Linked DNA regions of Mus musculus. The protein of the gene in region 1 purifies or fractionates together with the protein of each later gene. This does not show direct contact. Links are inferred from orthologs where the notes say so. Each region holds a gene or a part of one and is shown on either strand. Other genes may lie near its edges.

Region 1 (5,197 bases):
CTCCACCACTCAGCAGTGACCTTCCTCACTTTCTCTTGTCCCGGCTGCCCCTGGGGGCCAGAGAGACCCTTGCCTTCCTTCTGCCCATCTTCTGAGTTGTAAAGGAACAGCCCTGCGCAGTGGGGCAGGGAGGGAGGGAGAAGCAATGGTGCCCTTCCTGCTGGAGAGACAAGCAGCAGTAGCGCAGCGCCCGCCCGCCATGTGCAGGAGCTGGCGGGCTGGCTGCCTTCTGGACCCTGGCTTCTCCCCACCGTGCGCCTGTTACAAACTGTTGTGGATTCTGCCAGGCTCGAAGAAAATGATCTGAATTTCTTCCTCTTTTTGGTTTTATTTTGTTGGTTTACTTTGTGTTTTCTCCTTTTTGGGGGGTATTCAGAGTGGGCCGGGCCCCTGGGCGAGACACAGCTACCTCTGTTGGCATCTTTTTAATACCAGGAACCCAGCGGCTCCAGCCACTGAGCAGCTAAATAAAGTTGGAAAAAAAAAAAAAAAGAAAAAGAACCAAAAGCATAAAAAACCACAGCAAATTTCTTGATGAGAACTGAAAATAAAAGTTTCCTTGTATTTTAGTGATCTGGTTCTGTGTGGGTGAGTGTGGGTTCCAGGTACCCCAGGAACTGGCTTATCCTGGAAGACTGCCTGTGCTCCTGACAGGGTGACATTCTGGCGAACAAGAGGCTTCTGGACCATTGTTTATAGGCTCTGATCTTTAGCAAACTGTTCGCAGAGCACTCCTGCAGGAAGTAGCCACTTGCCTGGTACAGTTGTGAAGACATTGGGCAAGTGTTCTACCATGGAATACATATGCGTGAATATGTAATTATAGAAGTATAAATTTTTTGAGGGTCTAAGTAACAACTGCCTGCCCCTGCCTCTCAAGTGGGGGAATTAAGGATGTGTTACCTTAAGTATAAATTTTTTGAGGGTCTAAGTAACTACTGCCTGCCCCTGCCTCTCAAGTGGGGGAATTAAGGATGTTACCGTACCCTAAAATTTTTTCCTTGGTTTATTGTTATCACTTTTTTTTTGTTTGAAGATTTATTTATTATTATATATGAGTACACTTCAGACACACCAGAAGAGTGCATCAGATCTCATTGCAGATGGTTGTGAGCCACCATGTGGTTGCTGGGATTTGAACTCGGGACCCTTAGAAGAGCAGTCAGTGCTCTTGACTGCTGAGCCATCTCTCCAGCCCCTTATTACTGGTTTTCTTTGAGACAGGGTTTCTTTGTGTAATCCTGGGTCCAGGAATTCCAGGCTGCCCTCAAGTTAAAGAGATTCACCTGCTTCTTGCAGAGGGCTGAGATTATAGAGAACTACCACTCTCTTATATAATTTGTACATAGCATCACTGTGCACGTGGAGGTCAAAGAGCAGCTTGTAGGAGTTTGTGCCCGATGCCACTAGATGGGTGGGTCCTGGACTCAAAGACTCAGTTCTGCAGGCTCGGAGACAAGCGCGTTTATCCGCTAAGCGGTCTCCCTGCTTGGAAGGAAGGCCGGCCGAGTGCGTGTTCCTATGTGAAAGGGTCCGGAGGGGAGGGTTACCTCTAAGGAAAGCGGCTCTAATACAAAACTTTGGGAACAGGAGGGCGAGGGGCGTGGGACCCCGCGATCTTGCGGGCTAAGGCAATTAGGGTGCCAGCGGGAGGGCCAAGTTGCGGTGCTAGGTGGAAGGAGCGTGCGGCCTCGGGAGTAGCGGGCGGAAGCCACCTTCCGAACCGAGGGCAGAGAAACGCTGACCGCAGCGCCGCGCGTTTCCCTCTCTGAACCGCGGGTGAGGGGCGTGTCCCTGGATCACGTGTGTTCCGGTGCCGCGGCCGGAAGAGGCGGGGCGTTGTGACGACCCTTTTTGCGCTTGCGCGATTCACTTTCGCGGTGTGCGACCTCTGAGTTCTTCCCCCCAGTGCACGTGGAGCGGGCCTTGACTGGAGGTGCCGGGTCAGCCGGAACCAGGTCTAGGCGAGCCGAGCCTTCAGGTGCGTCTGCAGGATCGCGGAGCAAGGTTCCGAGAGGGGCGTGGTGACGAGGTCCTGTGGGAGATCCTGGAGGGGGCCATCGGGGTCCTGAGTAGTGGTCCTGGGCCGGGCGGTACCCATCCCTGGTAATATCCTTAAGCCTACGGCCTGCGTTCCCATTTCAGCATCCACAACGTCGCTTTGCCTCGTTTGTCTTTGCTTTAGTTATCATGGGGCGCAAGTTGGATCCTACGAAGAAGGAGAAGCGTGGACCCGGCCGAAAGGCCCGAAAACAGAAGGGTGCGGAGACCGAATTGGTCAGATTTTTGCCTGCAGGTGAGGGTCGTAGCTCCCTGATCCCGGCCAGCCTTTGCCCCATTTTGTGCCATAACTTCTCGTTTGCGTGTTCGCCTTTACCTGCTGCATAGATGTGAGCTGTTAGGAGATAAATAGTTTGGGTTAGAGAAGGGTGGGAAGCTGCCACTGGGGCATGGTACTCGTGCGAGGAGCGGTGCGATCTTCCGTTTCCAGGAAGGGAGTTCTCATGAAGAATTTGGAAAGATGTTATTAAGCTTAGTTTTGGTAAGCAAGAGTTGGAAACGGAACAGACCGGTCACGAATTGTCCGGAAGAGATGGAATGAAAGCACGGATCTGAGCCCTCTGTGGTGAAGGATGATGGAAGATGCAGTTTGTTGAAATATTGGCAAGCCACAGGCCCATGAAGGAGATCCTCAACTGTATGGACACATGGTCTCACTTCATCGAATTTTAGAGTCCTGGGAGAGAGGCTTTGTTATTTGTTAGGTTAGAGGTGTCTTAACACACAGTAAGTGAAAAGGGACATTTCTTGTAGATTGTAAAACCAAAAATAGCAAAATTAAGTTCTAATTTAGTTGATAACTGAATAAGCTGAGAATAAGGGAAGGGCAGAAAAGGGGTTTGAGGTTACATTGTTATCAGAATGTCACTGTTTGAGTTTCCTTGCTGAACAGTCTGATGGCTGCTTCCTCTCCTCTACATCTTTTGGTCTTTTTTGGGGTGGGGTGGGGTGGGGGTGGGGGTTTCGAGACAGGATTTCTCTGTATAGCCCTGGCTGTCCTGGAACTCACTCTGTAGACCAGGCTGGCCTCAAACTCAGAAATCTGCCTGCCTCTGCCTCCCGAGTGCTGGGATTAAAGGCGTTCACCACCACACCTGGCTTCTTTTGGTCTTTTTAAGTTTTCTGGAAGTGATGGGAATGGAGCCTTGGGCTTTCCCCATACTCCGCACAGGCTGTACTATTGGCCTGTCTTTCACATCTCCTGTAACTCCTGGATGACTTGTATGGAGTGACTCCCATGGACTGTAGTTTATAGCCTTAGTCTTTCCTGCTGCCGTGGGTGAATATGAGGACTTGTACATAACAAACAAACTCGCTCTACCACTGCCACACTTTTCTTCGTTAACGTGGTGATTCTCTCTCTTCCTAATTACATGCCTGCCCCCAGTTTGTATTTCCTATAAATTCCTAATCTATCCCTTTTTTAAATTAACAGCTGGCGATGAGAATTCCAAGAGGCTGTCGAGTCGTGCCCGAAAGCGGTGAGTGTGAATCCGCTGGTTTAGTGAGATTGTAGCTGCTGGATCCATGGGTGAAGAGGGCTGGTTGTGCATTGTCTTGTTTCCTTGTGGTGGGAGGTGGCAGAACCCGGAGGTATGTTCCCTTGTCTTCACTTTCTGTATTCTTTCAGGGCAGCCAAGAGGAGGGCAGGGTCTGTTGACGTCCCTAAGCCAAATAAGTCTCCTGGGATCAAAACATTGCCTGGAGAGTTATCCAAAGGTTAGTGACTATAGGAGTTGGTTGCTCTGTGAAGAATCCTCTGGGACCTGGATAGGGCTAATTGTTTCTAGAATGGAAGGAACGGCAAAGCAAAATATATATATATGTACATATATATATATTTTTTTTTTTGTTTGTTTGTTTCTTTAAGATGCTGGAGATAGCTCAGGCCGTGGTAAGAGACAGATTTTCTCTGTGTAGCCTTGAGTATCCTTTAACTCACTTTGTAGACTAGGCTGGCCATGAACTCACAGAGATCCAACTGTTTCTGCCTTACTTTTGAAAAATCACAACTCAGTTTATTTTATATATATGAGTGTATTGCCTGCATATATGAGTGAGTGTCATGTGGGTGCCTGGTTCTGTGGAGGTCAAAAGAAGGCATCGGATCCCCTGGAACTGGAATTACAAATGGTTGTGAATCCCCACCATTCGAGTGCCAGGGCAACGCCTGCTCTTATCCATTGAGTCTTCTCTCCGGCCCTATTTTTACTCTTTCTTGTGTGTGTCCGAATGTGGTTGTGTGCTCGTGAGTGGGATGCTGAATCGACTGAGAGTTGGAGATATAGGTACTTGTGAATTGTCATATGTGGGTTCTGGGGTCTGTGCTTTTAACTGTTAAGTAAAGCCATCTCTCCAGCCCTCAGAGACCATGCTTAGGGCTAGAAAGTACAGGCTCCAGGGGTGTGAGGCAGGGTGTGGTTGCCGTCCATCCAGGGTTTGGCAAACCCTCACTCTTCTCAGGAGCAGTCCAGGCTCGAGGTAAGAAGCGCCCAGCACCAATTCAAAACAGTGATGGGGACGAGGAGGAAGACTCGGGGGAAGACGATGTGGTGACCCAGGGGGACCTTTGGGGCTCTGAGGACAGTGATGAAGATATGGTGGATGACTATGGAGCTGCCTCTAACTCGGAGGATGAGGAGGAAAAGGTGAGTCTCTTCTGGGTATTCTCAAGTAGATCTTTCTGTTTATTTGAGGTATTGTCCTACTGTGTAGCCCTGGCTGTCCTTGAAATCAGCTCTTCTTGCCTCTGCCTCCTGATGCCGGGGCTAAGGGTATGTGTCACCACGCCTAGCTTGTTCGATCTTTGTTGGCCTGAACTCTACTTAGCCCAGGCTGGCCTCTAATTTACAACTCTCCTACTTTGGCTCCTGAGTGTTGTGATTACAGGTAATGTGTCACTGCCTGATTGAATCTTAGCCTTTTAGTTCCCAGACTGGCCTGGTATGTGTACTGCTCCTGCCTTGGCCTCTCAAGTGCTGGCATCTGGGTTTGTGCCACCATGTCTAACTTGCTTTTTAGCTTCTTTCCAAATTGTCCAGGCTCCTCCAGAGACAAGGACAGTCTGAGTGGAGTAGAGGGTTCTGGTGCTCCTGTCTCAGCACTCCCAAGCTGGAACGCACTGTCAGCTTTAGAT
Region 2 (5,317 bases), on another chromosome or scaffold:
GAAGTGGCTACTAAGATTAGCAGGAAGCTGGAGGAACTGAGGAGAAACACTTGACAAAAGGAAAGAAAGAGGCTGCTGGCTGTGTTGGCCATGGCACCTGCAGGAGACGGCAGTTACATTCCAGACGAGTTCCAGGAGACTCAATGACCCACAAAGAAAGCGCCAAAGCCCACGAGCCTCCTCAGGACAATGCAAGACTCGTCTTCTCCTTCCCCACACGCAAACAAAAGAACAGATGGGACAGCACAAGTCTCCCAAGAGGAAGAATTGCTCAGGGAACTAGGAGAGGCAACCAGCGGGAGGAGTCCCCAGGGGAGGAAATTCTCTTCCAGGGAGGAATCAGTTGGCAGTAGGCCTCAAGAAGGTGGTGGTCACAAAGCGACAATTTCCATCCCCTGACTTAAACCCCGGTAAAAGCAAATTCACAAAAAATGATTCCTGTGGTTTTAGGGGCTCTATTAGAGAAACCTTACATAAACCAAACTTAAGTTCATTAACCCCAGGGTTAGCAGTCGCAAAATAAACACGATCTACTTGTCTGTGTAGTCTGAGGACGAGAAGCAACTACCTTAGTTAAATGAACACTTAGAACACTGATTCTGCTCTTGAGATTGATATAAATTTCAATCCTTGCTGCCCGATTTTCCCGAGGGAAGCCCTGTAAGCAACGTGTGGCTGTGCCCTGTAAGCACATCCAGCCCTCGGCCTGTCGGGTGAGCTCCCAGCTAGAACCTTCTAACAAAGGTGAGCCAACTCCAAGTATGAAGTCTCAGTGCTGTTCCGCAAGGCGCTCCACCACCTTGTCTGTGCACAGGCCGAGGCCGGAGCGCGCACAGTACCTTCTACTCTCTCAAGACAGGACTTTCTCTTGAGCTGGTCGCTTGCTCTTTTGGCTTAACTGGCTGGCAACAAGTTCTACAATCAGTGGCTCCAGCTTCCAATATTGGGGTCACACCTGGCCTTTCACTTGGTGCTTGAAGAAGGGGTGTGTGTGCACGTGTTCCACTTCATGTTTATGGCACAAGCGCTCGGACCTCTGGGCATTTCCCAGGGTGTCTCTGTCATTGGCCTGGAGCTGAGCTCGGCTGGCTGGTTAGCAAGCCTTACGTTCCCAGCACTGAGATCACATGCGCATATGACCGTTCCTGGCTTCTGTAGGTTGACAGTTATAGACTGAGCTATCTCCACAGCCTCATGATTTCCCGCTTTTTATTGAGATAGAAATCCACACTATGAAACCGTGACTGGCCTCAAACTCTGCCTGTCCCTGTCTCCTGAGTGCTGGGACTAAAGGCAGGCCACTACACCAAGCTTACTTTCTTGTGATTCCACTGCAATTTGTAAAATCACTTTACTTATATTTACTTTATTTAGAGACAAGCTCTCTCTATGTAGCTGTGGGTATCTCCGAACTCATGATGTAAACTAGGCTGGCTTTAAACCGATTCACCTGCCTCTGCTTCCTGAGTGCTGGATTTAAGGGGGGTGCCACCATGCCTGGCTTGTGAAAAGTTCCCGAGCAGGAACTTTGTAGGTAACAACGCTGTGCCTATGAATACAAAGGATGACATACAATTGACAAGCAAAATATACATAGTTGAATTCAGGAACAGAATCTTACCCGCTTACTTCTAGACAATCTGAATCTGCTAATGTCGCCAAACTGGGCACAGTAGTTATAGATGTGGCTTTCAGAAAGTGTTGAAGGTAGGTGGCCCAGATAAACTACTCCACGGTTAAGTTTTTCTTTCTTCTTTTGCTGAGGCTAAAACAGATAAACATTTTAAAAATACAAACTCATACTACACCAAAACGTTTGTGCGTATACACATTTTTCTGAGCCGGATCTCACTATGGAGCCTTGGCTGGCCCAAAACTCACTACGTAGACCTGGCTGGCCTCTAACTGCTGAATGCTAAGATTAAAGTCCTATATCACCATGCCCTGCAAAGGTCTTTATTTTTCAACGAAAGTATGTTACCATTCCATAACCTCAGAGTAAATTAATTCTAATGTCTTTTTCTTTTTTTTGAGACAGAGTTTCTTTGGGTAGCCCCAGCTGTCCTGGAGCTAGCTTTGTAGACCAGGCTAGGCTCAAACTCACACAGATCCACCTGCCCCTGCTTCCTGAGTGCTAAGATTAAAGGTGTGTGTCCCCGCCACCCAGCTTCCTAAAGTCCTTTCAGAGGCTAGGTGGAGATCTGCCTGCCTCTGCCTCTCCAACACTAGGATTGAAGGTAAAAGTCACCTTGCCTGGCCTGCAACAAATTTTCAACACCATTCTTTCCCCTTGGTCCAGGAACAAACTCATAACTCTATCAGGGCAGAAACTGAAAAACTCCGTGTTTGGTATCTCTCTTCCCTTAAGCACTTGCTGAGCAAGGCTGAGGCCTGAGTTCAATCACACAGAGCCACAGACTCTGCAAGAGACAGACTCCCACACACGCACGCACCATGATGCACACCAAGGCACACATATGTCCACACCCACCTGTCCCTACAAAACAGTCAGCACAACATGTGTTCAAGAGCTAAATGGACAAGCAAGTAACAGTCTGTCATGTTCAGAGTAACACTGTGAAACCAAGACCTTCAACTCCGAATGCAGTTGGCAGTTTATTACACCGAATCTTAACTGTTTCCGGTTGTTAACCTTCATGGTGCAGACTCTCCTTCTCTATCACCATACTATGACCCCAGAGAACAAGAACTTGTTTCCTGTCAGGTAGGGTACCGGGTGACCTATAGTGTATTCATGAAGTGGATATAGGGGGTTCAAGACCTCGACTGCACAGCAAATGTGAGGTGAGCTTGGGCTACAATAAACCCTATACTGACACTGTAACAAAAGCGACCCTCCCAAAAGACCCCCAGGACAACAACAATAAAAAAAGAAAAGCTGTCGTTCTCTCCAATGCACTCCATGGTGCAAACCAAAGGGACTATAAACTTCCGTTAGGGACATTGCATACAAACTGAACTCGACAGGTTGACAGGTTGAAGCCCTATTCTGAATTCTGACCCTGAGCTGTATTCTGACTCTCGATCCTCCCAGGACGTGGGCTTCGGGACGTCTACTCCGTCTTCTAAGCACTACAAACTAAGGGGACATAACACACCTTCCGAATGCTGCGGTAGACCATGAACCCTCATTTTGCAGGTCAAAGCGGAAGCGTGGCAGCTTTAACACATTCTGAGATCTGGGGGTGCCATGCTCCCACACGTGGTACCCCTCCTCCTTCACCTCACACCGATTCCTGACCTGCCTCGGTCCCCTGATTGGAACCATCGTCTCCCAGCCCGTGAGAGGTTGGCTCCCGAGCCAGCCCGGCCGCCCCGCGCCGCTCACCTTCTTCGTGCGCCCTTGGATCTGCGTCAGAGCCTTCTCAAACTGCGAGTCTTCCTGCGGGTTCAATGCCAGACTCGGCTTCGCGGGGCCTGCTAACCCAGCCATGCTGGAGAACCCGAACAAGTCAATCCACGCGGAGCCTTCGGAAGTGACGTTTCCTTCGCGTCTCGGAAGCGGAAGTAGAGGCGGAAGTGTAGCAAAAGAGCAGGCCCCGGTGTCTAGAATTGAGGCAGCTCGAGCGCCACCTACTGGCCACAAACTAAAAACATTTAAAATCGGATTAAGGCTCCGTTGGTGAAGCGCTTGTTCTCAGTCCTAGGTTTGAAACCCAGTGCCTCATAAAATGTGACTGGAGCCACGCCCCCTGCCCCCATCTGTAATCCCAACACTTGGGAGGTAGAGGCAGGAGGATCAGGAGTTCAGCGCCATTCTCATAAACATAGTTCGAAGACAGCCTGGGCTCCATGGACTCAAAAACAAATTTAAAGTCTCAAACATTAGCCATGCCCGTTGCCTGTTCATGCCAACGTGCAACAGGAAAAGCCTTCCCCTCTGTGGGCTCCTTTTGTAAACTTTGTAAACGCTCAAGCAGGAAAGTGGCCAGGCCCCTGCCTGAGGAGATCCAGTGGCCAACCTCCCCAGTCCCCCCACCCCCGCATGTTTTCCAACGTCCCTAATGGTTTTCTAACCATCCAAAAGTGGGAGAGTGGCCAGACCCTGCCCTACAAGAAAAAAATTCCACCAGTCCCCGAGGTCTCTCAAGTTCAGGACTTGAAATTCCACCAGTCCTCATCATGGAAGTCTCCACAGCATAATCCAACACCTATTTATATTTTTGATATTATACACCTGTGTCTGTGAGTGGGTATGTGTTCAGGAATTCAGATGACCATAGAGAATAATGGTGTCGGATCTCCTGAACTTGGAGTTCAGGCTGTTGAGAGATGTCCAATGTACTGGGAACTGAACTCAAGTCCTCTGGAAGAGCAGAAAATACTTTTAACTGTGAGCTATTTGTCTAGTCCCCATTTATTTTATTTTTATGCGATGAGTGTTTTGCCTGTATATGTACCCTATATGTGCAGTGCCTGCAGTGGCCAGAAGAGGGCATCAGAACACTGGAACTGGAATTAAGGACTGTGAGCTCTTGACCACAGAGCCATCTCTTGAGTTCCCTAGTAAGTTTCTTTAGGTAACACAATAGGAATTTTGAGAAAACAAAAGGAGAAGCTTGTAAGAGTTTCTTATGTTGAAACAGTTGTCTTTTCTCCATTTGTTTATTTACTTATAGATTAATTGATTGACAGGTTGATTGATTTTGTGTGTAGTGTATGCCTGTCAGTGAGTATGGGTGTGTGCACCCTTGTGCTGCATCGCATGTGTCTAGGTCAAAGGACTACTTGCTGTAGTTCTTTCCTTCCACGGTATGGGTTTTGGGGACTCAGGCTTAGTGGCAAGTGCCTTTACTTGTTGAGCCACCTTACTGACCCGGTCTGAAGATTATTTTAAGCAAAATATTTTTGAGACTCAGTGGATAAAAAAAGAAGCCCTTTATCTAAGAGAGCAACTTCTGGGGAGATGGGGCTTCCTTAAGCCCCTTTGGGGAATGTTATGACATAAGGAACACTGGAAGAGGGGCTGGAGGTGCAGGCTCAGCACAGAGCTTACCTGCCTTTTATGAAGCTCTGGCTTCTACTTCCAACTCTGAGTAAACCAACATCTAGGCAGCCAGCGATACATGAGACCCTCCCTGTCCCTACAAAAGGAGGAAGGCAATCAATGGCAAGATGGGTCTGAGGGTAAAGGCTATGGAGGTTAGGCTGAAGGCCTGAACTGGACCATAGAACCCAAATGGTAGAAGGTGAGGACCAACTCCAGCAGGCTGTCCTCTGGGGATGTCCTAGTTTTCTTTCTGTTGCTATGATAAGACAAACCAAAACCAACCTGGGGGAGAAGCAAGATTTTGTT
Region 3 (5,343 bases), on another chromosome or scaffold:
TTTCTGGTATCTGGGAAGTGAACCTGGGTAGGGTCCATGACTTCATTCTGGTAAACATTCTACCTCTTAAGTTTTATTTATTTATTTATTTATTTATTTATTTATTTATTTATTTATTTATTTAGATTTTTCGAGACAGGGTTTCTCTGTGTAGCCCTGGCAGTCCTGGAACTCACTCTGTAGACCAGGCTGGCCTCAAACTCAGAAATCTGCCTGCCTCTTCCTCCCAAGTGCTGGGATTAAAGGCTTGCATCACCACGCCTGGCTACACTGACATCTTGATGTCACACACCATCTATGCATCTATACATCGCACTTAAGTTACTAACCTTACTGTAGTACTAGGCAAACAAAATTAAAACTGATGCACATTCTGCAAAATAGAACTAGATTCTTCAAAATAGTCACTGTTAGTGGTGCATGCCTGTCTTCCATGCACTTGAGAAGCTAAGTAAGGCAAGAGGCCTGCAACGCAGGTGTACTTAGACTGGCTACATTGTAAATTCAAGGCCTGCCTTGGAACTCAGGGAAAGTATCAGAAAAAAAAAAAAAAAGTCCCAACCCAGGGATTATTCTAAACACACTTAAAAACACATGGGCACTAACAGTAACGGATGACCTTGGGTTGGAAAAAAAATGTCGCCAAACATATTTTATTGGATTTTCTTAGAGTGATAACGTTCTGATTATGTAGAAAAAAAAAATCTTTGCTTTTAGTAGATATGTATTGAAATCTTTTGGGGTGGAGGGTAACAGTCTGCAAACTACTGAATGACTCAGCAAAATACACCATATGCATACACACACACACACACACACACACACACACACACAGAGCAACTGTGGAGAAACGTTTAAAAAAAACCTAGTGAATGTGGGTTAATAGTGCCGATTACTGCATTTTTCTTGTATGTTTCAGATTTTTTGAAAAAAAAAATGGAGAAAGTAAAATCTTTTCAAACTTGGAGCGGCCTTTCCTGTTTGTTGGGACATCTTTAGAGTAAGACTCAGTGATACAGTTGTAACTCAACGATACAATTGTAACCAATGAAGGACTGAGTGTTCAGGACCAGTATCTTTAAGATACTGTAATTGTTCAAAGAGACAAGAGAACACTGAAGTGGTAACTACGTGTCAGTCAGCGTGATTTGCATCTTAGATAGCCTTGGAAGGTAGAAAGAGAAACCAGGTAGCCTGGGAAGGCAGAAAGAGAAACCAGCCAGGCCTGAATAGAAATACAGGCTGGTAGAACTGTTTGACCTATTTAGGGTTTAGTTTCCCCATTATAGGAGGAAGAAAAAAAAAATCACTTTTTGGCATGATTGCTGTTTTAGGCTCTTATCTCATGGTATTTAGAAAATTAGGCTTTCTGTGACAAACTTTCCATTTAAGCTGTGTGCATCTTTCCTTCGTTAAACTCACGCAGCCTAATGGAGTAGGAAAAGAGAGGAAAATCACTTCTCCAAGGTCACACAGACACTCAAGGACCCAGGTTCCTCAGCTCTTGGTCTTGTGCCCTTTCCACGCCCGCCGGAGAGGAGGAAGCGGCGCTCATAGGGATGCAAGGATGTAGAGATGCAAAGGGATAGAGGAGGCCGCCTGAGAGAGGTGGCGAGAGACCCGCCAAGGCGCTGGCCAAGGAAGAGCGCATGGAGAGGCGTGCGGCACGACCAGCCGGGGTGCGGAGCGGTGGCTGGGAGGAAGGGTCGGCGGCTGGGCCTAGTGCCCGGGAACGGGTGGCCTGCGGCGGCCGTAAAAGCAAGGAGGTGGAGGCCGTGGGCGCGGGAGGCCGTGGGCGAGGGGGCCGTGGGCGCGGGGAACCGTGAGCGCGCAACCGCCCTTCAGCACAGGTGGGCCGCCGAGCGAGTGATAAGGGCGCGGCCGGGGTCCGGACCCCCGTGCTCCAGAGCTGCGGAGGGGGGCGCGGAGGGGGCGGGGCTGCGGGGCGGGGCCGCGGGGGCGGGTCTCATTGGCCCCCGCGGGAGAGGCCGCGGCGGCGCAGGCGCGGTTCCCGCCTCCTCGGCCGGCGAGCGAGTGGAGGCTGCATCCCGGTGCGGCTGACTGTCGCGTCGCCGCCGCCTCCGCCGCGGAGCCCCCCGCCTGGCTGCCCCGAGTCGGAATGAGCTCCAGGAAAGGTGAGCGGCGCGAGCGGCCCCCGCCCCGCCTCGCGGCACGCAGGCGGCCAACCCGACCGTTAATGTGTCTTCTCTCTCCCCAGTGCTGGCCATTCAGGCCCGAAAGCGGAGGCCGAAAAGAGAGAAACATCCGAAAAAGTGAGTCCGCGCGGCGCTTGGTCCCGACCCCGCCCCGCCTCGCTGAATGTTGCTTGCGGCCGCGCAGGCAGAGCTTCCCGGTCCCCGGGCCGCGGGCGGTGGGTCTCCCGGGACGCGGCGCCGGCTCTACGTGCCCCGGCGGGGGAGGGGTGGGGGGAGGGGCGCGCGGCCGCGGGTTCCGGAGCCGCGACCTGGCCCGTCAGCCTGCGAGCCGCCCGGGCTCTGCACTCGACCCCGCGCCCCGTGCCCCGTGCCCCGCGTCCCCGATCCTCATCCCGCGCCCCGGATCGGCGTCCCTGATCCGTATCCTGAGCCCCTTATCCACATCCCTGATCCGCACCCCAGTGCCTGTACCGCACGGGTCGGATAGTGGGCACGGGAGGGAGGCGGCGGCGCGGCTGACACCTGGGCTGCGGGAGCCAGTGCGCTGCCGCCTCTGCCACCTCCCGGTCCCGCCTGGGCCAGCCAGCTGAAAACCCGAGCTGCTTGTCAAGTGGTTTGGCTCCGGGCGTTGTTCCTGGCGTGAGTTCAGCTCCGGGACCGGTGCGTTTCGGCGCTCGGGTTTTTCATTCGAAACTTTCTGCTCGGGTCGAGCGTTACTTGCGTGCTGCGGCTGCGCCCAGGTCGCTTGCTGCAGTGGGCTGTGGGTGTGTGCGCGGGCGGGTCCCGCGTGGTGCTCCGGACTGGATCCACCGACTATGATATTTCAAATGTGCCAGCGCCAGCCACCTCCAGCCTGGACCTGCAGCCCAGTTGGGCAGCTGCTGTCGGAGAAGCCTTTCCCCGAGAGCTGGGTTTTCCTAGGCGTCAGAGCGCCGCCGCGTGTTTCTCTTTCCTCTCTCTCTGGGTTTGCTGGACCAGCTATCAACATCTTTGCTCACATTGTTTGCTTCGCTGTTCCTTTTGCGCAAGAAATTTGTGTGGTGTCTTTGGTACTATAGAGAAAGACAGAATTCGCCTTTAATAAAATTACGAAATATTTGTCTATCTTTATTTTGCAAGGGGTGGGATAACCCTCTGCTCTCTTAGGTGGTGGTTATAATTTGTATTGGCCCAGCAGGGATTTCCCACACATTTGGTGACATCTAGGAAAACTGGCAGGATTGTCTTCATTCAAAATTGAATATAACTTGACTGTATGTATAGGATTTCCTAAGATGTGGATATATAAATATGAAAGAAATCTATTTTTAGGAGGCAAAAAGACTTGAAAATTGGAAGGTAAACATTGAAAATTAAAAAAGGTTTTTATTTTTATTATTTTGTGTGTGTGTTTGGGTTTGGATGTGTAAGAGCCTTGACACCTGTGGAAGTCAAGGAACAACTTTCAGCGTTTGATTCTCTGACCATAGCTTCGGAAACTGAACAAGATCAAGCCTGGTTAGTATTCAGATGGGAGACTACCTGGGAATACTGGGTCTGTAGGAAAAAAAAAAAAAAAGAAAAAGAAAGAAAGAAAGAAAGAGAAAAGGATTGATTCTCTGTTATGTGTAGGTCTGTGGGATTGAACTCCAATTGTCAGGCATGGTGATAAGCACTGTTACCCTGAGCCATCTCCCTGGCTCAGATATCAGATATGGGATATTTAAAATGCTGAAACTCAATGTAGGCTTCTGATAGTTTATGCTTTTTAAAAACTAGTTCTATTTCCCCGGGGCAGTGATGGTACATACCTTTAATTCCAACACTGGAGAGGCAGAGGCAGGAGAGTTTCTGTAAGTTTTGAGGCCAGCCTGATCTATAGAGCTAGTTCCAGGACAGCCAGGGCTATACAGAGAAACCCTGTTTCACCCTCCCACCCCTCAAAGTGCTATCGTGGCTCAGTAGTTAAGAGCTTCTTGCTCCTGCAGAGGTACCTGGTTAGTTCTTAGCACCAAAATCATGGTTCACAACCATCACTATCCTCAGTTCCAGGGTGTCTGATGGGCAGCTGCATACATGTATTAAACATATATACATGTAGGCAAAATTCATAAAAGAAAACCTTAAAAAGTAGTGCTGGTTCTAACTAATGAAAACCCTAAGTTTTTCTTTTGGTGAACCATGGAAATTTAGCAGCTGTCTGAGTGGATGCTTGGGTTTAATTGTAGCTTTCAGCACAAGGTGTTGTCTGCGTGTGGGGATGGGGTGGGAGTGAGGACAGAGCTAGCCTGTCATCAGACATGATAAATGCAAAACTGCTTTCTAGGTTCAAGGACTAGCACTGGAGAGAAGGGACTTGAGGAAGCTGGGGTCTTAGGTTTTCTTCATTTCACAGACAGCTCTGACAGGTTAGAATCACCCGCCTTGTTTAAATCTACATTGAAGAGTCCTGATGATGAGACATTTTAAGTCTGGAGGAGACTTACTTTTAAACTGTGGTAGTGACTGGCAAGCTTGAGTGATGTGGCTGGGCCTGGCCTGATGCAGTGTGGTCTATGTTCAACATAATTTCCTCCTTATATGCAAACGGAGCTTTCTTTAATCTTAGTTCATTTGTTTCTGTAGGCTTTTATGAATTGCACTCAGCTTCCTGGGTATGTTTATAAAGTCCAATTTGTCTCAGAATTGAGGTCCTTTTTCCTTAGTCTCCATACTGTAGGCCTCTCTTTTGGGGCCAGTTGTGGTGGCACATGCCTTTAATCCCATCACATAAGAGGCAGAGGCAGGAGGATCTCTGAGTTTGAGGCCAGCCTGGTCTACAGAGTGAGTTCCAGAACAGCCAGGGCTTTTACACAGAGAAACCCTGGCTAGAACCTTCCCCACCCCCACCCACTCCCAGCAAAACAAACAAACAAACCAAAATAAAAAAAACCCGACCACCACCACCACCAAAACATTAGTTTTGTTTGTTTTGAACTTCATATAAAGCACACACGTATGGGATTTCTCTCTCAACTTATTTTCAGACTTGTCCATGTTGTATGGGACAAGTACCATTAACTTGCTCATTTTTACTGCTTTATAGACCTCCATTGAGTAAGTATGCCACAATTTGCATATTTTCTAGTCTTACTAAGGAAGTCCTCAGTCCTTTTCTATAGTATAAAGTTATTTTCTAGCAGTGTAAATATTTCCCTAGATTTTCAGT
Region 4 (5,405 bases), on another chromosome or scaffold:
CCTTCAAACACTGCTATAGCCAGGGACCCAACCCCACAGTATCAAAGTCTCTGACCCTTGAGCAGCAGTAGCCGATACTAGAGGCCTGCTCTGGGAAGTTCCCTCGCCGGACTGACTGTTGGCCATCACAAGACTGGCGCATCAGAAGACAAATCCAAACCGAGACCCTTACTTACCCTTTACTCATCTGCTGGCCTTTACCTCCTGCCTTTGCACTGCGTTCCACAGGCTTCTGGTCACCCTCCAGGAAATCCAGCTTATCAGAGAAGCCTGTGCAGGGAAGAGCATTCACATCAGCACCACTGTATGTCTAGGAGCATACAGGACATGGCTGCTATTCCCTAACTGCATCTTAAGAAGCACATCTTGTGCCGGGCAGTGATGGTGCACGCCTTTAATCCCAGCACTTGGGAGGCAGAGGCAGGCGGATTTCTGAGTTCGAGGCCAGCCTGGTCTACAGAGTGAGTTCCAGAACAGCCAGGACTACACAGAGAAACCCTGTCTCAGAAAAACAAAACAAACAAACAAACAAACAAACACAAAACAAAACAAAAAAAAAAACGACAAAAAAAAAGAAGCATGTCTTGTTCCCGCACTATTTTCCAAGCATAAGCCCAGTAGATTCAAACCAAGGTAACTGGAAGCACTAGAGAGCTCCCTCGGTTCTAAGGTACTGAGACCCAGGCTCCCTACACTCTTAGCAGACAGCCACACTGACCTTTCTGGTATTTCTTGATGGCATTCATCATGTGTGCTTTCTCCCGCTGCCTCTTCTGCAGGACCTCAGTTTGCACCTGTGAGACAGACACAAAGTCAGCCCTGCATCCCAAACCATCACTCTAGAGACTGCAGCTCAGCCACTGCTACCACACTATGCTGGATACACCCAGGTGTGCCACGGTGGCGAGTGAACCTGTGCTCAGGGACACCAGCAGACACTTTACCAGGAACCCCAGCACAGTCTGCCCTGGCGCACCCGGCCCTGCCCGGCCCACGCAGGTGCTCTTTCTTTCTCACCTTCTTTCCATATTTCCTAAGCGCTCGAAGTTGCTTGGCCTTTTCAGATTTCTCCATGGCGGCCTGTTTAGTCTGCAGCTTCTGTCGAATCTAAAACGCAGAGAGTTGTTAGGCACTATTTGGAGCACACTAGAATGGAGCGCCAGTGTCTGACTAGCTCTGAACGCTGTGGAACTCATTTACTGTCCTAGATTTCCAAATTAAAACAATACGGTCCCAAAGCTGAGCCTGGCACCAAAAGTGTCCATGGGCTGAAGGAGCTTAAACACGACCCTGACTCTCTAAGGCACAAAGCTGCCTACTTATCATACAGGACCTGCTGTTTCTCCACAGATTAAGGCAAAACTGCAGCATTCTAATGGCCCACATCTGTAATAGTTCCTGCACACTCGTACCTCACCTCTTCCATCACACACACACACACACTCACACACACATTGTACTGAAAGTGCTAAGTAGTTATGTGTGTGACTGTCAGATGTAGATGGATCTGTGCTTGTCTCAGGATTGGCCTCTTGAGGTACCACCTGTAATTCTCTAGGCCAAAGACTGAGACCAAAGGAACAATTTTAAATACATCCTGGATGTGACGTCAAGGTTTTTTTCCTCCCAAAGTTAAGTGAAGATCAAATCCCCCAACTCTAAGTCACACCACATCTGAGTTATCCGTCAAGTCTTCCATTTCTAAAAAGCTAAAGGGCCAGAGAGGAAAACCCCATCTAGAAGCAACAGTAATCTCCTTGGCATTGCTGGGCCAGAACTCTAAGACTGTTGTGTCTGTCCACTCCACTCACTCTGACAGGGAAGAAATACGCAAACCCCCAACTCTAAGTCACACCACATCTGAGTTATCCGTCAAGTCTTCCATTTCTAAAAAGCTAAAGGGCCAGAGAGGAAAACCCCATCTAGAAGCAACAGTAATCTCCTTGGCATTGCTGGGCCAGAACTCTAAGACTGTTGTGTCTGTCCACTCCACTCACTCTGACAGGGAAGAAATACGCAAGCTTCTTTTCGTAGGGCCCATACTTCTCCAGACCGTCTCTCTCTAATTTGCCTAGGCGACTGGCATGGCTCTGAAGCAGAGACTGTTGAAATACTGGCTACAAACACCACACATCTTTTTTTTTTTTTGAAGACTACAGGAATGACCCAGCTGAACAAATGAAACCTTGGCTTTCCAGAAGAAAAACCTACCTTTTGCATCTGCTGATCAGACTTGGCCATTTCTGCAAAATAATCGGTGGGCCTCTTCGTAGGGACTTGGAGCTGATGGAGTCGGGGTAATACCGCAAGCACTGCTGCCTGGGCCTGCCGGTAGCTGACATTACAGGACAGGGTGTAATGAGGGGAGGGGAAGGGCGCTCATGTCTTCTTACTGCCTCTCAGAAGTTACCTAACCTCAGAGCTATCACATCCCACCAGCACTGGCAAGATAAGACAGACACACCAACTAAAACTCCACTGATTGCACATATAACTGAAATCTCACTTTATGTTTATTTACGAGGGGAAAATACTTCCAAGAGCAAGTCAGTTTAAAACAACGAGCTTATTAAATACTGCGCAGACTATGAACTGTTTCCCAATCATTACAGAAAGAGCACTCATAACATTCCCTAGGCAAAGTGTGTTCTAATGATTGGAGGCACCCACACAAGCTTCAAATGAATTATTCTGAAACATCCCTCGAGCAGGGTTCTGGTTAAACGGCGACCAAGAACCTATTCTTTCCACCAGAGGAACCCGCTAGATCCACTCGCACGCTCGTGCTAACCCCGCCCAGTGCCTCTGAGGTTGCAGACACACTAAGACCCCCTTCCTGTAACTCCATCGCAGGACCCATAACAAACATACAAACTCATTTCCCTCTGGAAGTCGTCTTCTGGATTAACGCCTTTCTTCTGGTCCTGGTTCTGAGGTGTTGGCTGAGTCTCACTGACTTCTGGCACTGGACCCAGGGTCACATCGAGCCTTTCAACCCACTCCAGATCCCGTCTGAATTCAGCCAAGCACTGTTTCAGGCCACTCTAGGTTAAGTCAGACAAGGCGCTCATGAGAACCGCGAGTTTGACTCTCAGAAACCCAAAGTCCTATGCTCAAATATCCGCACAGGATGACGACCGCAGCGCAGGGTGCATCTTTCCCACCAGAATCGGTCTCCCAAGAGGCACAGCGCTTGTGCGCATCCTGTTCCAAGGACCCCGACCCTCGCACGAGCTCACCACGTCATTCACTGCCTTCTTCGGCTTCTCTAGCACGACATTGAGACCTGGCTTCAGGAGTCCGCGGGAAAACGCATCCTGCAACTACAGACCGGGGAGCCTCAGTACCAAAGAGCTAAATAAAGTCCCCGTCCCAGCCCCTGCCCCGCTAGCTCCGCTGCGGCCTACCTCTTGATCTGAGGCCAGGCACGCATCCGACTCCGAGTCCGACTCTGAAAGCGGAGGGGTGTCCATCTCGCGGCCTTCCGCCCCGCGAGGTTCGGCTGCCACTCCACGTGCCCACAAGCAGCACCACCGCCAACAAATTCTCCACAAGCCTCTGCCTTTTCAACAGGGACTTCCGCTTCCGGGTTCATAGCCGCACTTCCGGTTTTCTCGTTGCTATAGGAACTGCTCTAGCGTTTGGGCGTGCCCGGATTGCTTCGGATCTTTAGGAAGAGCACCTACTGATCCCTACGTAGTCTAGTAACCCAGAGCCGTGAAGCAAGAGGTAAATAGTTTCTTTGGGGTCCTCCTAAGGATCTGAGGGCGGTGGGAGTGCAGGAGAGGAAGGAAAGGCTCGGAAAGAGCCCCGGGGGTGGGGTGGAAAGGAAGAGGAGCCTAGGGGCGGGGCGATGGAGGGGCGAGGCGGGGTCAGGGAGGGGCGGGCCGGGGCCATGGGCGGGGCGGGGCGGGGCAGGAAAGGGAGATGCGCTGCTCGGCTTCACTCCCACCTACTTGCCTCTTTCTTCATCTTTTGCAATACTTTTTGACAGGTACCATGTCCACCGTGGTAGCTCAGGCGCTTCATGTTTTTGGTCTTCGGCCTCACGTGACCAACAATGTCTTCTTCTTCGATGAACAGATCATTATATTTCCTTCAGGAAATCACTGTGTGAAGTACAATATAGATCAGAAATGGCAAAAATTCATTGCAGGTAAAAAAGAAAAAAAGAAACCACCTTTTCCATTCTGACACATACATTAAAGGCATGTGCTACACAAAACCGCACAATCTCAACGATTGGGAAGATTTTTTTTTGATAACTGGGTTATCCACATATTTTTATAAATGTAAACAAAATAAATGGCCATTTACACTACTTAATCATAGATTAACGTGACACAAGTAGCCAAAATGACAGGTAAAATAACACACGTTTTAAAAGTACTTTTCCACAATGACTCCAGAGAAGAGTTACTTTAAACAGTGTTTTTCTTGTATTCTCCTGCAGTTGTGTTTGTCCTCACCAGAACCTTCTTTTGAGTCTAACGGTTTTGAGAGTACATGACCTTCATTGAACCCATGTCTGATGGAGACGCTGAAATTTTTATCTTAAGTGACAAATAACCTTTTAACATTTTTTTTTTTTTTGGTTTTTCGAGACAGAGTTTCTCTGTGTAGCCCTGACTGTCCTGGAACTCACTCTGTAGACCAGGCTGGCCTCGAACTCAGAAATCTGCCTGCCTCTGCCTCCCAAGTGCTGGGATTAAAGGTGTATGCCACCACTGCCCGGATTATTTACTTATTTTAAAGAGTTATGTATACAGTTTTCTGCCTGAATGTATACCTGCAGGCCAGAAGAGGGTACCAGATCTCATTACAGATGGTTGTGAGCCACCATGTGGTTGCTGGGAATTGAACTCAGGACCTCTGGAAGAACAGCCAGTGCTCTTAACCTCTGAGCCATCTCTCCAGCCCCTGGAATATCCCTAGTTTTATGTTAATAGTTTTACCAATTTTTCAGTTACTTTTGTAAGATTTTGTTCTAAGGGGTATCTCTCTTATTTAGTTATAGACATATTTTACATATCCTGTATTCTAATAATTTGTCAGGTATATATGTTAGAAATAATTAGCTAAGCAGTGATGCCTTTAATCCCAGCACTGGAGAGACAGGGACAGATAGATCTCTTAGTTCAAGGCCAACCTGTTCTGCAGAGTTCCAGGACAGCTAGGGCTACACAGAGAAACCCTGTCACAAAAAAACAAAAGCAAAACAAAAAGTAAGAAAGAAATATTTCTTTCTGAAGCCTGTGCTTTTTTTCTTCCTTGTGGTATCTGTGAATGAACAATAATTCTTAGTTTTTGCCGGGCATGGTGGTGCACGCCTTTAATCCCAGCACTCAGGAGGCAGAGGCAGAGGCAGGCGGATTTCTGAGTTCGGAGCCAGCCTTGTCTACAAA

Evidence for each region.
Region 2: the proteins of Nop2 (region 1) and Nifk fractionate together in Homo sapiens (co-fractionation; 3 studies listed by BioGRID, with this or other methods). This does not show direct contact. The link is inferred for Mus musculus from reciprocal best matches to the Homo sapiens genes NOP2 and NIFK.
Region 3: the proteins of Nop2 (region 1) and Srpk2 purify together in Homo sapiens (affinity purification with mass spectrometry; 3 studies listed by BioGRID and IntAct, with this or other methods). This does not show direct contact. The link is inferred for Mus musculus from reciprocal best matches to the Homo sapiens genes NOP2 and SRPK2.
Region 4: the proteins of Nop2 (region 1) and Ebna1bp2 fractionate together in Homo sapiens (co-fractionation; 3 studies listed by BioGRID and IntAct, with this or other methods). This does not show direct contact. The link is inferred for Mus musculus from reciprocal best matches to the Homo sapiens genes NOP2 and EBNA1BP2.

What each region holds. Positions count from the first base shown.
Region 1 is NC_000072.6:125,130,023-125,135,219, forward strand, and holds the start of Nop2 (probable 28S rRNA (cytosine-C(5))-methyltransferase), read left to right. Parts: upstream 1-1,860; 5' UTR 1,861-1,981; exon of another isoform or gene 1,982-2,007; intron 2,008-2,185; 5' UTR 2,186-2,190; coding exon 2,191-2,296; intron 2,297-3,496; coding exon 3,497-3,542; intron 3,543-3,691; coding exon 3,692-3,780; intron 3,781-4,524; coding exon 4,525-4,709; intron 4,710-5,197. UniProt on the Homo sapiens protein: S-adenosyl-L-methionine-dependent methyltransferase that specifically methylates the C(5) position of cytosine 4447 in 28S rRNA. Required for efficient rRNA processing and 60S ribosomal subunit biogenesis.
Region 2 is NC_000067.6:118,320,030-118,325,346, reverse strand, and holds the start of Nifk (MKI67 FHA domain-interacting nucleolar phosphoprotein), read right to left. Parts: upstream 3,505-5,317; 5' UTR 3,455-3,504; coding exon 3,350-3,454; intron 1,766-3,349; coding exon 1,622-1,765; intron 1-1,621.
Region 3 is NC_000071.6:23,672,650-23,677,992, reverse strand, and holds the start of Srpk2 (SRSF protein kinase 2), read left to right. Parts: upstream 1-2,025; 5' UTR 2,026-2,119; coding exon 2,120-2,135; intron 2,136-2,218; coding exon 2,219-2,273; intron 2,274-5,343. UniProt on the Homo sapiens protein: Serine/arginine-rich protein-specific kinase which specifically phosphorylates its substrates at serine residues located in regions rich in arginine/serine dipeptides, known as RS domains and is involved in the phosphorylation of SR splicing factors and the regulation of splicing.
Region 4 is NC_000070.6:118,619,000-118,624,404, reverse strand, and holds the start of Ebna1bp2 (probable rRNA-processing protein EBP2), read right to left. Parts: upstream 3,607-5,405; 5' UTR 3,474-3,606; coding exon 3,408-3,473; intron 3,324-3,407; coding exon 3,240-3,323; intron 3,045-3,239; coding exon 2,872-3,044; intron 2,336-2,871; coding exon 2,212-2,335; intron 1,108-2,211; coding exon 1,018-1,107; intron 795-1,017; coding exon 719-794; intron 271-718; coding exon 177-270; intron 1-176. Other genes in the region: Cfap57 (cilia- and flagella-associated protein 57), read left to right, coding at 4,000-4,156. UniProt on the Homo sapiens protein: Required for the processing of the 27S pre-rRNA.